Linked DNA regions of Oryzias latipes. Each later gene encodes a partner of the first gene's protein in a complex. Links are inferred from orthologs where the notes say so. Each region holds a gene or a part of one and is shown on either strand. Other genes may lie near its edges.

Region 1 (6,733 bases):
AAAAAGAGAATAAAAGTTACCTACCACATCTGTATTTTATAAACATAAGTTTCAAATCCACCAAATGCCAAGATTGAACTTTACATTCTCATAAAAAAGCAATACCTAACCTCCTTGACATTTTACTTTTATTATAAAATTTTACATTATATATAATCAGGGCTCTAGATTACCACCTGCCCAGAAAACCAATTTGACTAACCACTTAAAAAGGTGAGGCATTGTTCTGCATCTCTGACAGGGTGGGTCAAAGTCACAACTATGACTTTTAAGTCTCTGCCTCACTCCACACTTAGCTTCAACAAACACCCATCTCAAATTGGTTCAAACATTTAATTCTGACTTTTTTTGCGCAGAGTTAAGTCACATGAGCCGCAACACAAATGACCATGACTAGAAATAAACATTAGAAATTTGGTGCTTTAAAGAAAGGAATGTGTTTATAAAAAGGTTCAGAGATCAGAAGTGTCTTTTGTTAAGATTCAGATTCAGATTCAGAGGGATTTTTATTGCCATGTCAGTGAACGGAACACAACAGTTTCACAGACTAGGAATTTGCTGCAGTGCCAATGTGTCACATACAACACTTAAGAATAATAATAAAATAAACAGTAATGAGCCAAAAACATAGACACAGTGATCAGAACAAGTAAAAAGAAATACAATAGTGCAACAGAGGTGCATTACATTTCGGTATATTATACAACCTGACATAAGAATACACTTTTAATTAGTGTTTTCAAGAGAAAATTATCATCAACTGAAACTTTATAAAAAATGGAATAAATGTGTTTCTTTCAAATACATAACTTATTTTTCCAGAGAAATGTTTGGCTAGTAGAAATCTAACTTGGCTGGTAGACTAGTTACTGGGGACCCCATCTAGTAACCAAAAAAGGTCATTTAGGGCCATGATATATAATAAAATTAAGGATAGTCTGAATATTTACCACAGGGTGATCTCATCTGCTTTGTGTTGGCCCTTTCTCTGCAGAGAGCTCCCCTTGCTGGCTAAGAACTATGTGATGCGGATGCTGTTTTTGGAGCAGCCCCTCCCTCAAGCAGCTGTCGCCCTGTGGGTGAGGAAGGATGGACAGAGGTGAGGCTCCCATGTTCTCCCTGATCTACAATTTTGAACGGTCAGGAGCACAAAAGCTGCTTTTAGGAAGCTGCTGTTGCAGCGCCTCCTGCTGGCGCTTTAAGTGCTCAGCAGCCATCACTGCTGTGGTTCAACGAGAGCAAACTGAGCAAACCGACAGAACCAGGGGGATATTCCAGGAAGCATGTTTAAACTAGCCAGACTTTAAGCCTGAACTCTGGCTGAAATCCGCCTAAACTTGCTTACTCTGGGTATGTCGGTTCCAAAAGACCGGATATGAGTAAGTGTAATTACGCTCGACTTGGTAACCCTGGGTTAATGCTCGTGCACAGGAGGTACATAAAGACATTCTCAATAGATGGCCGATTTCTGGAGTCACCATGGAAACGCGTGGAGAAAAAAAAAGCGGTACACTTGAGACGGAAGTGAGACGGAGTCTGAGATTTTAATGACGGCGGATAGAAATTATAAGTCCATCAAAAAAGTAACACGGCTGCATCAGCAAAAAAAAGAGTTTCTGCTTGGAGAAAAATAACAAAGTTTCTGATCTTGTTTCCATTTTCCTTGTGACGCATATTTATATATAATCTTAAATAAATTTCTTCTATTAGTAACAAATAAATTAGTTAAATGTATTCAACCTAATTTCTTGCGTCTATAAAACTCAATAATTGTTTATACAACTCAATTTTTACGTATTCATCTAGCTAAATATCACATTACTCCATTAATCTTTTTTCAATCTTAATTACTTATATTTCTTGAACTTTCATATGTCTAAGTTTGAGCCGGCAGATATGCTCATTTTTATAACAATAAAAAGGACGGAAAAAAATACACGGAGTGCAAAAGTCCAATAAAGAATTTTCCATCATTGTCATTACAAGCGTGAGTCGTAGGGGTGCTATATAAACTCATCATCCTCTCCCTCCCTCTCACTCATGGTGCAGAGACGTAAGCAGAGTAGGACAAAATAACTCGGCAAAACAGAGTAAAATAGTTAGACAACTAAACACATTCTGTCAAAAACCCACACTTAAACCCAAATCCGTCCAGACAGGCAAAGGGAATGATATCCCAGAATACCTTGCGGTGCTGATCTAACGGCAGCACCAAAGTTACACCTACTTAATTGAATTAATTTGAATGAAAGGAAAATAATTGTTTGAAAACTACGTGTTATTTTTATGGTGACCTAACAAAAAACGATTTATCTTAACTGAAGCAAATAATTAAGTTAGATCAAAGTAAAAATGTTTCTCTTTCCAACATCCATATGTGGTCTTATCATCCTCTCATGGTGGAAAAAGTATTATCTGAGCTTCTTCATCCACTAAATCATCTTCAAATGGACACGTCATGCTGCTTCACCTCTCTGTAAACAAACTAACCTTCAACTAAACCTGCTCCAGACCAGGTTATGTTCAGAGCATGAGTTGCCATGGCAACTTGACCTACCCTGAAACATACCTCCATTTCTGGAACCGAAAGCTGAGGTTATCAACTTCCTTAGCCTCAAACTTATCGTGGGAGCTAGCATAACCTGCTTTCTGGAATACCCCCCAGAGAAAACTCCTCTAGAGATAGACTTATTATTTATAACAAAGAAAGCCTGAAACTTCGGTGCTGTTTCAGGGTTTTTATTGAGCGTTTCTTGGTTTTCTCTTCTGCTGCTGCTTGTGCCGAGGCTGATTGTGTGCTAAAGCCTGGATCTGACGGTGCAGCTGCTAAGTTTGGCTTCTTTTTTCAGGGATCATGACGAATGTGTCTCGGTTCTGACGGGCCTCCGTTTGTGGCACAGTCAGCAGCTGCAGGGGGGTCTGCAGGGATACATCCTGAATCCAGTCTTCAAAGATAACCTGAGGATAGCTCTTCTGGGCGGGTGCGTTCCCCTCACCGCCCTCCACGCTGTCGGAATGAGATCAGCGTGGTCAACAAATCGGAAAGAAAAAATGAACGTTGGCACGTGTTGTGACTTTTTTGTGCATCGCCCACAGGGGTAAGGTATGGGCAGATGAGGGCATCATTCTGGGCCCTGACCGTCATGCCAGGGACATCGAGAGCCTCGACCGCTATGCCATGGAGCGCTGGGAGGTCATTCTGCAGTTCATGGTGGGTTCTCCCAGCGCCGTCAGCCAGGACTTGGCCCAGCTGTTGGTCCAGGCGGGCCTCATGAAAAGGTACAGAGTCGTTTCTTAGCCGCCTTCCCACCAGGGTCTTCCTCATCTAATACGCCACACTTTATAATGTGCTGCCATCGAATGCACATCTCCTCTGCAGCTGATGAGACGCACTGAAGCTGAATACATTTAGAAATGTCAATTTTAGACCAAATAACAAATTACTCAGAGAAGAAAACAAACCTAGATATTAAAAAACAAAAAGAGAAATAAACAGAAGAACCTCTCCAGTTCACCAAACCTGGTCAAAACCTTTAGGATTTAATTTCTTAAGGGTGTGGATTTTGGTGCTTTTGCAGAGAAGTCACTGATGTGTGTTCATGCCTTTATGTGGCTCTGATGTGACCATAAAAACAGAAAAATGCTATTGTTTTTGCAGGATTTTGGTTTTAGGGAGGAATTTGTGGAAAAATCAGCTTTGTATCTCCTCTTAGATATGTCAGTTGTGTCATGTCAGCATATTAGACCTGATTGTTGGCAGAGGCTGTGGTTTCTGCTAAATCTGGAGTTAAAAACGGGAAAAAGGTAATGAAAGTAAAGGAGATGGGATCACAGCAAAGACTGCATTCACTGACATACTGCAGAACAAGAGGAAGATTTACAGGAAACCTGTGTGTAGGTCTCATTTTTTACCTGCCTCATTTTCTCCTAATTGGCAGCGAGGCTGGGGAGGCACCATACATCACCTCAGCTGGGTTCCAGTTCCTGCTGCTGGACACCGCCTCTCAGCTGTGGTACCTCACCCTGCAGTACCTGAACACTGCTCAGGTACTTTGACTAGATAAGTAATGTTTTTGTAATGTAAATAATTGATTTTAAAAATCGACACCCCCCTACTCCCATACCTCCCTCCCCTAGAGCCCATGGAGGTAAACATTATACATCCGGCTGAGCACGGAAAGCCAAACTAAGTCAGTGGGTGGACATGCTAATAGTTGAAACCTCCTTCTCCTCTGAGAGTTGATGCACAGCCAGTGGAGTGCAGCATCCCAGGGGGGAAACCCAGTGTCCCCCACGAAAAGGTGGTGATCCAGGTAGATTTACAGCAGCCGACTCCAAGGGAGACGATCCAACTGTGGAAGCACTGCAAATAACAGTGATGGGGAAAAAAATAGATGAAAAACTAAATGCAGTACAGAAACAAACACTGAGGCAAAAGATGGAAAGTGCAGCTTTCTATCTAAAGCAGTTAAAATGAAGGGGAGAGGAGGAGGGAACTACATTCACCATTTAGGTCTGTAGGCACAGTTCCCATTTATAGTTTGTACATTTTTGGGTGGAAGTTCCCAATGTTGTGGTTGATCTTAGATTCAAGTGTGAAGGGAACAGAGCTGAAGTTAAATGTAACACAGTTTTAGATATTACGGCATAGAAGGCGTCTGTTTCACAGAAGAAGAACCAGATGCTTAAAAGGTCTGCCTCCTGTATTCTCTGGAGCTGTTTATGTGCAAAAATGATTGCAGTGAAACAAGTGTATTTTTTTTTAAGTTGGGACATGATGGCACTTGTTCTGTGTTTTTCAGTCTCGGGGAATGGAGCTTGTGGAGATTTTGTCCTTCTTGTTCCAGCTCAGCTTCTCCACGCTTGGCAGAGTGAGTGCAGCACAGTCGGCGCGTGGAGACATGAACGTTAGCAGCGTTACAGCCATGTGTCTTGTTGTGTGTTTGTCAGGATTACTCGGTGGAAGGCATGAGCGAGTCTCTACTCACGTTTTTGCAGCATCTGCGTGAGTTTGGACTGGTCTTCCAGAGGAAGGTAAGGCCACATAAAACCCCTACCACCCTCCTTTAGAAGAAATGCTCCTTTATTGGTAAAGTAGCAGTTCTGACATGACGGTTGGATTCTGTGTCGTCAGAGGAAGTCCCGGCGCTATTACCCCACCAGACTGGCCATCACACTGGCAGCTGGAGTCTCCAGCAACTCCCCCTCCAACATGACGAACACTCCCGGAACTGGAGACGCGGGGTTTATCGTTGTGGAAACCAATTATCGGATCTACGCGTACACAAGTACTTAAAACTGAATTGCTCTGTGCTGAATGAATAGGATGAGGATTAGGGGTAACCGATCTGAGGGGAAGGATGGTAGGAAACTAAAAACTTTGGGGAGGCAAAATCAACTAAGTAAAAGGTTTATTTTATTAATGCTACCAGAAATACATCCTTCCAATCAAAAATTAAGTATCTCAAATGGCAGCTCAAACATAGAGAAATTTTGTACAAATGATGTTGTCCTAAGTCAAAGTTGCAGAGAAGGCTCTTTAGCACACTTGTGACCATTAGTCTTTACGTGATCAGCTCAGCCCTGCGCTCATGCGGGCTTCCCGTCCTTTCTGTCGACTCGCGACCCTTAAGTTCTGACCCAATTCTGTTCCCCGCTCAGATTCCGAACTCCAAATTGCTCTGGTGGCCCTCTTCAGTGAGATGCTCTACCGCTTCCCCAACGTGGTCGTAGCTCATCTGACGAGGGAGTCGGTGCAGCAGGCGATCGCCAATGGCATCACAGCACAGCAGGTAACGGCGAGAAGCAGGGCGTAAAAACCTGCCGTCTACAGGTCTGAAAGCTAGTACTTGATTCAAACGGTTTGGACTGTGACTTAGTTTGACTTACTTCACATAACGCAGTGTTTTTCAACCTTTTCTGAGCCACGGCACACTTTAACCTTAAAAAAAATCCCGCGGCACACCAGCAACCAAAAAAAAAAAAAAAGAGAAACTCATAGGTCTGTATTGATCTACAGTCCCTCCACAATCTCACATGCATTTTTGAGAAAATTGTGTCAGAAATAGCTGGAAACTGCAGCTGTTTTTTTTCTAAAAAATGCAATAAAAGTTAAGTTAGAAGATTTAAAAACAGATTGATGTGTGTTCGTTGTTTCAAGACGTTTAACAACAAATCTCCTTGTGCGCTGTCAATCTCATGACCCAATGCATCATGGGAGATGTAGTGCATAAAACGGCTGGAGATCGGTTTTCGGAGCTTCATTGTTTTGTTCACTTGTTCCACGGTCTGATACCGGATTCTGTGCAAAGCTACACAGCTAAAGACGAGCTTTAGCTTGTATTTTAGTTAGAACTGAGCGACTTTACGAGCTAAATCGGGACAAGGAAGTGAAGACTTTAACCACTTCTGATTGGTCAGACTGATGACATGTGATTAAGCTCCCCAAGAATGATTGGTGGAGACAGTCAAAGGGACGGGACTTTTCCCAAATACAGCCGAAGGTGCAGCTGAATCGCGGTACTGTACCGTCATTCTTATCAAAATGTCTTTAATAAAATAAAATAAACGCAAAGAAAATGTATTTTACATCTTTTATATTCCTAACTACTCAGTGTTTTATCAGGGCCTGTTTGGATGAACACTGGATGACTGTTTGGATGAACACTCCTGGAGATGGGAAATGTTTTTAGATCAGTTAATGAGGACAATTTCCCACGGCACACTTGACCAT
Region 2 (7,481 bases), on another chromosome or scaffold:
GAAAACTTTGTGGTCTCCATCGTCAAAAGAGCTAAGAAGGTCTTCCTTCAAGTCAGATTTAAAAAAACATAACAAACAAAAAAACTTGAAAAGAAAATCACTAACAAAAACATTCAACTGTTCTTATGAACATTTTATTAGTAAAATAATCTGCAATCTGGTCAAACATTTTTCTAATAGGCTAGACTAGAAGAAAAAAATGTAGAAATGCAATTTCTCCATATATGACTTGTATATGTGGAATCATTTTGTGTCTGCAAATATCTTGTTCGGGTTTGTTTGTTTATTTCAGGAATCCCCACAAGTCTTCTCCAGAGTAAAGATTATTCCTTCTGCGCTCTATTTTTTTAAATATACACTACTTACTGTTTTACACATAATTAGAACAATCACGATACTACACATATAGAAAACTTCAATCACTTTAACTAACATTCTAAAAGTATGCATGGTTTCAATGCTTTTTATACCTAGAATGGTCTGTAGCCTACACATATTATCTATAACTATCAGGGGGTTGACAATTCTTCTTTCTCTTTCGGCTTTTCGCATCAGGGGTAGCCACAGCGAACAAGTCGCATGGTAAACTTGGCAATGTTTTACGCCGGATGCCCTTCCTGATGCAACCTTCTCAAAGCAACCGGGCTTGGGACCGGCACAGAAGTAGAGAAGGGAACATCAACTTAATTGAATATTAGATTTACAATCCTAAGATTCAACCAAATCGATCTGTCTGAAGTAAGCCATTTATAGAAATAGGTCGACCTATACCGTTATAAAATCATTTCAAAATGAAACAAATCGATTATAATCAATATTGGAAAATACCGTTTCGATTGAGGTACGGTACGTTTATTTTACTATAATGTTAAAACTACCAAGTGCATCACAGCGGACAAAACACGTGATGGCAGCATAAAACTGATCAGTCCGTCATTACTTTGAATTTAGTAAAGACATGACCATACAGTGTGGCAGAATGTTCTGATAATGTTTAATTTGTATTTTTTTGTGGAAAAACAACAGTGGGTTGAACTTTATGAAACTAAAATGGGAATGGATTTGCCATTAACTCTTGTTTACCGGTACTTGTTTGTTTGCACACACATTTAATTTATACTTGATTATTTTGCAAGAGATACAAGGAATGTGGAAAACTTCACCTGCACTGATTAGAACCCAGGTATTTTTCTCTGAGTGGAATTGTTGTTAAAATGAATCCTTACACCCCTGATTACTATCAAGGACTAAGATATCTTATGAAACGTATAATTTACCTGAATGACACGAGTCTTTGAGTCTCTGAGAGCGTTTCCTCGAGGCTTGGAGACAAGTTTGCCTTTGCTTTTACATTCTTTGTCAAAAATTTGAACCGTTTCTTCAAATTCCCCAAACTTCAGGTACTAAAGAGAACAAACACAAAGTGTGTTAATTATACAATCACCATCGTGGAATACATTGAAATGTTAGATCAACTATCAGAATAAACAGATTATGGATTTTAATTGCAGTTTTTTTCTTCACATCCCTATCATGCTTTACCTCTTTAATCATCCCAAGGAGATCGGCTTCAGTTGCCAAGATGTCTCCCATCTTGGCTGTCTTAGTTGAACTCATCCGTGGACCACAGCTGTCAAAATACCGGCCGTCATTTGGGGCTCAGTTTGAAATTCCTTTGCACTTACAAAAAACAGGTAACAGTCTGAACAGACAGAATAGCACAGACAGGCAAAAAGAAAAAGAAAAAAATACTTCAATAATTTCACGTTTTAATGTAAAGATGACCAGTCTTGCTTATTCGAACAAGAGCAAATAATTACAACCTGTATTAACTTGTACGGTTTCAGTTTTCTTTCCGAATTATTATTTGTTTGTTCCAACCGAGGTTACTGTAGTTGTATTCAATTCAATTACATTGTATTTATAGCCCAATATTTACAGCAATAGTCATCTCAATGGGCTTCATTCCGGTAATTGTGTAATAAACATGAATCATAAAGAACATAAAGTCATAGAATTCAATAGCTGATTGCTAAACTAAACAGAAGAAACTAAGTGGACATCCCTGCCCTAAAACTAAGACCATCCTAATGTTACTACTATGATCAAAAAAAAATTATTTTCATCTTTGTATGCATTTTATAGCGGAAAACACGTTAACTATAACGGCAGAGATTTGAAGAGCTGCAAACTGCAGGAAGCTAGTCAATAATTGTTTCAGTCAGGTTTGTTCACATGATGAGCGTTCCTTACCTCGTTTGACCATCTTTTCTTGGTAAGAATCCGCATTAGAAGTTTCATTAAATATTTTATTTATGCTTAAAATGTATATTGGTAATTATTTTTTCGATATAATGACGCTTATGGTAAAAACAACAGCCTTAACATTAGCTAGCAACCGTCCACACAGAGGACGCTAAACGCACCTAGCAACAAGATGACGACAGACGGAAGTTAGTAAAAACTGTCGTAAAATTAGTTCAGTTGTTGGTTACTTAAATTATCAGTTAAATAATTGAGAGAAAACAAATACTTTTATAAAAATCTTTTTTTTATTTGCTACGTAAAATTTAGCCAAAATATTATTCGTTTTTTCCCCATCTTTGACCTATTGTGAGCCTTCAAATAAAACGGTAGGCAAATTTAATTGGTGTTATTTTAGTGATCATTTTTTCTACATTACACCATCGCAACGCATTTTTCCCTTTCTAAAAAATGTATAACATTCAGTAAAGCAAAACATGCGTCTTTCTTTTAAAAGAAAAAAAGAGACAAAAAAACGGAAGTTCTTGTTATGTCAAAGGTCGAACACGCTGGTTCTGCGCGGTACCGACTATTTCGCTTAATAATGAATGAAAATCTATCTAAATCAAATATCTGACGTCTAGGTTACATTATTATCGTTTTTACACGAATTCACCACATTCCAGGGCATACTATTTACACAAAAATACAAGAACAGCACTTGGGGGTAAGTATTATATTTTGTGTGGACAACATGATGCTACAGTTAGCGCGTAAGTGAACATTGTTAAAGTTGTCCAAAGTTGTGACAAGTTTTGTTCACCCACTTTGACACGGTGGGAGAGCTTTGTGATTTCCATTTGTTTTGACCTATTCCTTTTTCTTTTTAACTTGTTTTTAATTAATTATAGTCAAGATCGGGACCAGAACGCTTAGGAGTGACCAGGTTAGACAGGATAAGGAACGAGTACATCAGAGGGACGGCCCATGTTGCCTGTGTTAGCGACAAAGTCAGAGAAGCCAGAATGAGATGGTTTGGACATGTTCAGAGGAGGGATAGTGGATATATTGGTAGAACTAGAAGGATGTTGGAGATGGAGCTGCCTGGCAGGAGGCCAAGAGGACGGTCAAAGAGGAGATATATGGATGTCTTAACAGAGGACATGAAGTTGGCTAATGTTAGGGTAGAAGATGTTCATGATAGAGTGAGGTGGAAAAGGATGATTCGCTGTGGCGACCCCTGATGGGAAAAGCCGAAAGAGAAAGAAAGAAGAAAGAAGAGTCATAGGAATTTCACACTGAAACTGTGAAAAACACAATATAGCACTCACTGCTATAGTGTGTTTTTCTTGATTGACTTGGCTACGTAAAATGCTTTGCTGTGTGACTAACCTTCCCTTTTAATTTTGTTTTATGATGAATCTGTTTTAGGTTTAACAGAAAGGGATAAAGATGGCTGGGATTTTGTTTGAAGATATTTTTGATGTGAAAGACATTGATCCAGATGGCAAGAAATTTGACAGAGGTATGTGGACTGTCACTGTAAAAACACAAAAACGATCTTCACCAGTAGATAGTTTCAGTTGTAAAAGTCATAATTACAATTGTATATTGCATTTTTGTTCATATTGTGTTAAGTGTGACTAAAAAATTGTGTTGTCAGTAATTACAGCTTTTATTTTATTATTTTATTACAGCTAAACATTACAGTCATCACATTACTGAGTTGGGAAACCTTCAATCCTGCTTTTTAGTAGCTTTAAAACTAACACAATAACAAACATAATCATTATATGCATTTGCTTGAAAAAGATGGATATCTAAAAGCGCGTTAGTCAGTTTCATAATGTTTTCAGTTCTCTTTAATATAAACTAATACAGGTTATTATTACTTATACTGCAGTGTCTCGTCTGCATTGTGAAAGTGAATCTTTCAAGATGGACCTGATCTTGGATGTAAATACTCAGATTTATCCTGTTGATCTTGGTAAGAAATTAACAATGTCCTTTATTGTTTATGTCTTGTTTGATCTTAGACATTTGGCCTTTGTGGAGGAATTTTTAAATTGATTATTGGTAGTATTTAGTGAAACTGTCATTCTTCACTCTTGTAAGGTGTTGGTGCAGAATTGATAAGTTATTTTAACTCAGTTTTGACTCAATGTAAAACTATTGTATTAGAAGTGTAGCTTGATCTTAGGTGATTATGTACATTGCTATGATAAATCCAGATTTTTTTTTGCATGTTTCAAAAAGGGGACAAGTTCAGACTGGTGATTGCCAGTACATTATATGAAGATGGAACGCCAGATGATGGAGAGTACAATCCCCAGGATGATCGACCATCTAGGCAAGGCATTTAAAGAAGATAAATGAACATCCATGTCTTTCAATCTGTGGCAGATAATGTGTGATGCTTTTGATTCATCTTCCATTTTTAAATTGTTTCTAGGGCAGCTCAGTTTGACTATGTAATGTATGGAAAGGTCTACAAGATAGAAGGCGATGAGACCTCAACAGAAGCAGCCACGCGTCTGTAAGTTCTACACAAATGCATGTAGATCATTACAATCCTTTATTTAAGTTAAAAGTCAAGTGCTGTCAATTTAGTGATTAGTAAAAATTTAAATAAACTGTATGTATGTGTAAATGTTGATCAAGTCCTCTAATGATGTGCTTGTTCTTTCAGCTCAGCCTATGTGTCTTATGGAGGCCTTCTCATGAGGCTGCAGGGAGATGCCAACAATCTACACGGCTTTGAGGTAGACTCCAGAGTCTATCTCCTCATGAAGAAGCTGGCCTTTTAACCCCCCTCCTCTGTTTTCTACCGCCTTCATCCACCTTTGTAAAACTGGGATCTAGAAAAGTGGAACATATGAACATCTTAGAGACAAAACACCATGTTTTTGTAAACCTCTGTTGTATTTTTTATAGTTCCTCCAACAAACTACACTGAGGTCTGTGATTTCCACTTGGTGGTACACTGTAAATAAATATTTCTTTCTTTTATACAAAACAATTACAAGTGTTGATTAACTTCATTTTATAGCGATGAATACTCTTCAACAGTGTTGCAGAACGCAGCAAAATGAAACCTGGAGACAGAAAATTGAATTATAGGGAAATAAGCGGCTTTTGTGCGCCAAACAGGACACTTAAAGACTGTTATAACAAATGTCACAAGATGGGAATCACTCTGACTCACTGAATACTGGTATGTGCACACAAAGCTTTAAACACAAACAGAATGGATTCATGTTGTAAAATAAAGTTTTGCCCTTTGTGGTACTGACATGTATTTTAGCATAAAGTCTGGATTTGGGCTTTATGTAGTTATCCAGCTGATATGTGATCAGTTGCATCTCATGATATGTATGACTTGTCTAAAAATTTCAATGCTTTTGCTAGTAGAACAGTTTAAAATCTTCATCTCTTACTTCCATTTTAGTTTTGTCTGCCTTGTTTCAGCAATGACATTTTCAGCTGCATTCTGCTGCTTATGGTTCACTTCAGATTGCCTGAGCCAAAAATCTATTTTTTTTCTATTAGTACAGCTCATAAAAATTGACATGCCATCAGTGAAGACCTTAAATGCAAATAATGAGAAGTTTCCATTTTTCCAACCAGCCTGACCTTGAGTCAATTTCATGAAGGGTTTATTATATTTAATTGAAGACTATTTTATTGGATTAGTCATGCAGTAAGAACAACACGGGAATACATGCTCCATACAGACAAAACATAAATGACATTCCTTCATTTTGAAGTTTCTTTATTTTTCTAAAATAAATTATAATTCAAATGAGAATCTGGAAACCGGAGAGGATCCCACTTTTTGAAAAGTACCTTTTTACTCAGGCACTGAACAGAGGATGCAGTGGAATCTTGGATGATGAGGTTTATAGTTGTCACCAAACTTTGACTCATGTTTATTTTAATGTTTCATCCAGTTGAACAGTTGACTCCTGATGATCATGAAATGCTGTGAGGAGAGACAGCAGCTTCATTTTGCTAACCAACTCTTAGGGCAGCAGGAACACGATTGAGGTTTAAAAGGTTCTGATATTGCTTCTGCATTTTGATTTGGACTCAGATAAATGAGGAGTCATTGTAATACATTTTAACTTGATCTAATCTTTGCTTAAAAAAAATCCCTTTTGCTATTGAGGATTTGTTATTTTGTCTGGTTTTATAAATATCTGACAGAAAAATTGCTGTTACATATCCTTCATGGTAAAATCTGAAGTTTAGTTGACTTTTTTTTATCATGCAAGCTTAAATAAATGTGAAAACAGGGTAGTTCTATCATGATCCCTGACAGCATTTTGTTAGACTTTACTGCAGGTGGTTACATGACATCATAACAAATGGTTAGGCTCTAATCAACTTTTCCTTTTTTTTGTATCTGTTAAGGCATCTAATTAGTTTAAAAAAAATGTCGGTGACGAAATTGATCTAAATTGGGAACTGGCTCTGAAATCAGTGCAAAGCGCGCTCCCGAGACAAGACTACTCCTTTCCAGGAGTTCGTTCCTGCACAACACCGGAAAAGACGGTGGCCATGGAGGGGCATGTCGAATTGTTTTCTTACGAAAAAGCGTTGCTGGACTTTGATTGACCGTATGTGAAGGATCTTCGGGCTCCTCTTTGGTCTTAGAATCGCCCCAGGCATTGCTAAAATATCGTATTTAAATCGTGGAGGAAAATGCTGATGTATTTTGAGCTTTTCTCAGATGAATAGCCAGGTTTAGCATCTTCCCCAGCTTTAATTGGAAGCCTCGCTCTGTGGATTAGCTCAGCTGTTTGTCAAAGCATGAGGAGCGCGTTCAGAGAAATGATAGAGACGGGAGAATAGCAGACCACACCAGCAAGATGGATAATCGCCGTAAGAGGAAACTGACATTCGCTACTATTGGACTCATTTTTCTTCTTAGCGGTGTGGAATATGGTAAGACCCCTTTCTGTCTTTCTGACGCTCTTTATTATGGACAGACGGGTGATAAGGATTTAGTTATTAGTTATCGTAAACAGTGTTTTTCAACCTTTTTTGAGCCAAGGCGCACGTTATCCTGGACAAAAGTCCCGCGGTACTCCAGCATCCAAAAATTAAAAAAGGAGAAACTCTAGTCTGTATTGATTTATAGTCCACCCACAATCTCACGTGAATTTTTGTGATAATTGTGGTAGAAAAAGCTGGAAGTTGCAGCTGTTTTTGTTAGTTTTCAGTAATTGTAACTT

The links.
Region 2: gtf2h4 (region 1) and polr2h share a complex: the UniProt entries of both Homo sapiens proteins name them as parts of the TBP-based Pol II pre-initiation complex. The link is inferred for Oryzias latipes from reciprocal best matches to the Homo sapiens genes GTF2H4 and POLR2H.

What each region holds. Positions count from the first base shown.
Region 1 is NC_019869.2:21,555,231-21,561,963, forward strand, and holds part of gtf2h4 (general transcription factor IIH subunit 4), read left to right. Parts: intron 1-994; coding exon 995-1,099; intron 1,100-2,849; coding exon 2,850-2,981; intron 2,982-3,096; coding exon 3,097-3,279; intron 3,280-3,938; coding exon 3,939-4,047; intron 4,048-4,802; coding exon 4,803-4,871; intron 4,872-4,950; coding exon 4,951-5,034; intron 5,035-5,134; coding exon 5,135-5,288; intron 5,289-5,661; coding exon 5,662-5,792; intron 5,793-6,733. UniProt on the Homo sapiens protein: Component of the general transcription and DNA repair factor IIH (TFIIH) core complex, which is involved in general and transcription-coupled nucleotide excision repair (NER) of damaged DNA and, when complexed to CAK, in RNA transcription by RNA polymerase II.
Region 2 is NC_019862.2:11,776,031-11,783,511, forward strand, and holds polr2h (DNA-directed RNA polymerases I, II, and III subunit RPABC3), read left to right. Parts: upstream 1-2,482; 5' UTR 2,483-2,633; intron 2,634-2,780; exon of another isoform or gene 2,781-2,971; intron 2,972-3,675; 5' UTR 3,676-3,696; coding exon 3,697-3,769; intron 3,770-4,147; coding exon 4,148-4,231; intron 4,232-4,500; coding exon 4,501-4,594; intron 4,595-4,696; coding exon 4,697-4,780; intron 4,781-4,933; coding exon 4,934-5,051; 3' UTR 5,052-5,546; downstream 5,547-7,481. Other genes in the region: lisH domain-containing protein ARMC9, read right to left, coding at 1-45, 1,278-1,403, 1,543-1,617; major facilitator superfamily domain-containing protein 8, read left to right, coding at 7,116-7,191. UniProt on the Homo sapiens protein: DNA-dependent RNA polymerase catalyzes the transcription of DNA into RNA using the four ribonucleoside triphosphates as substrates.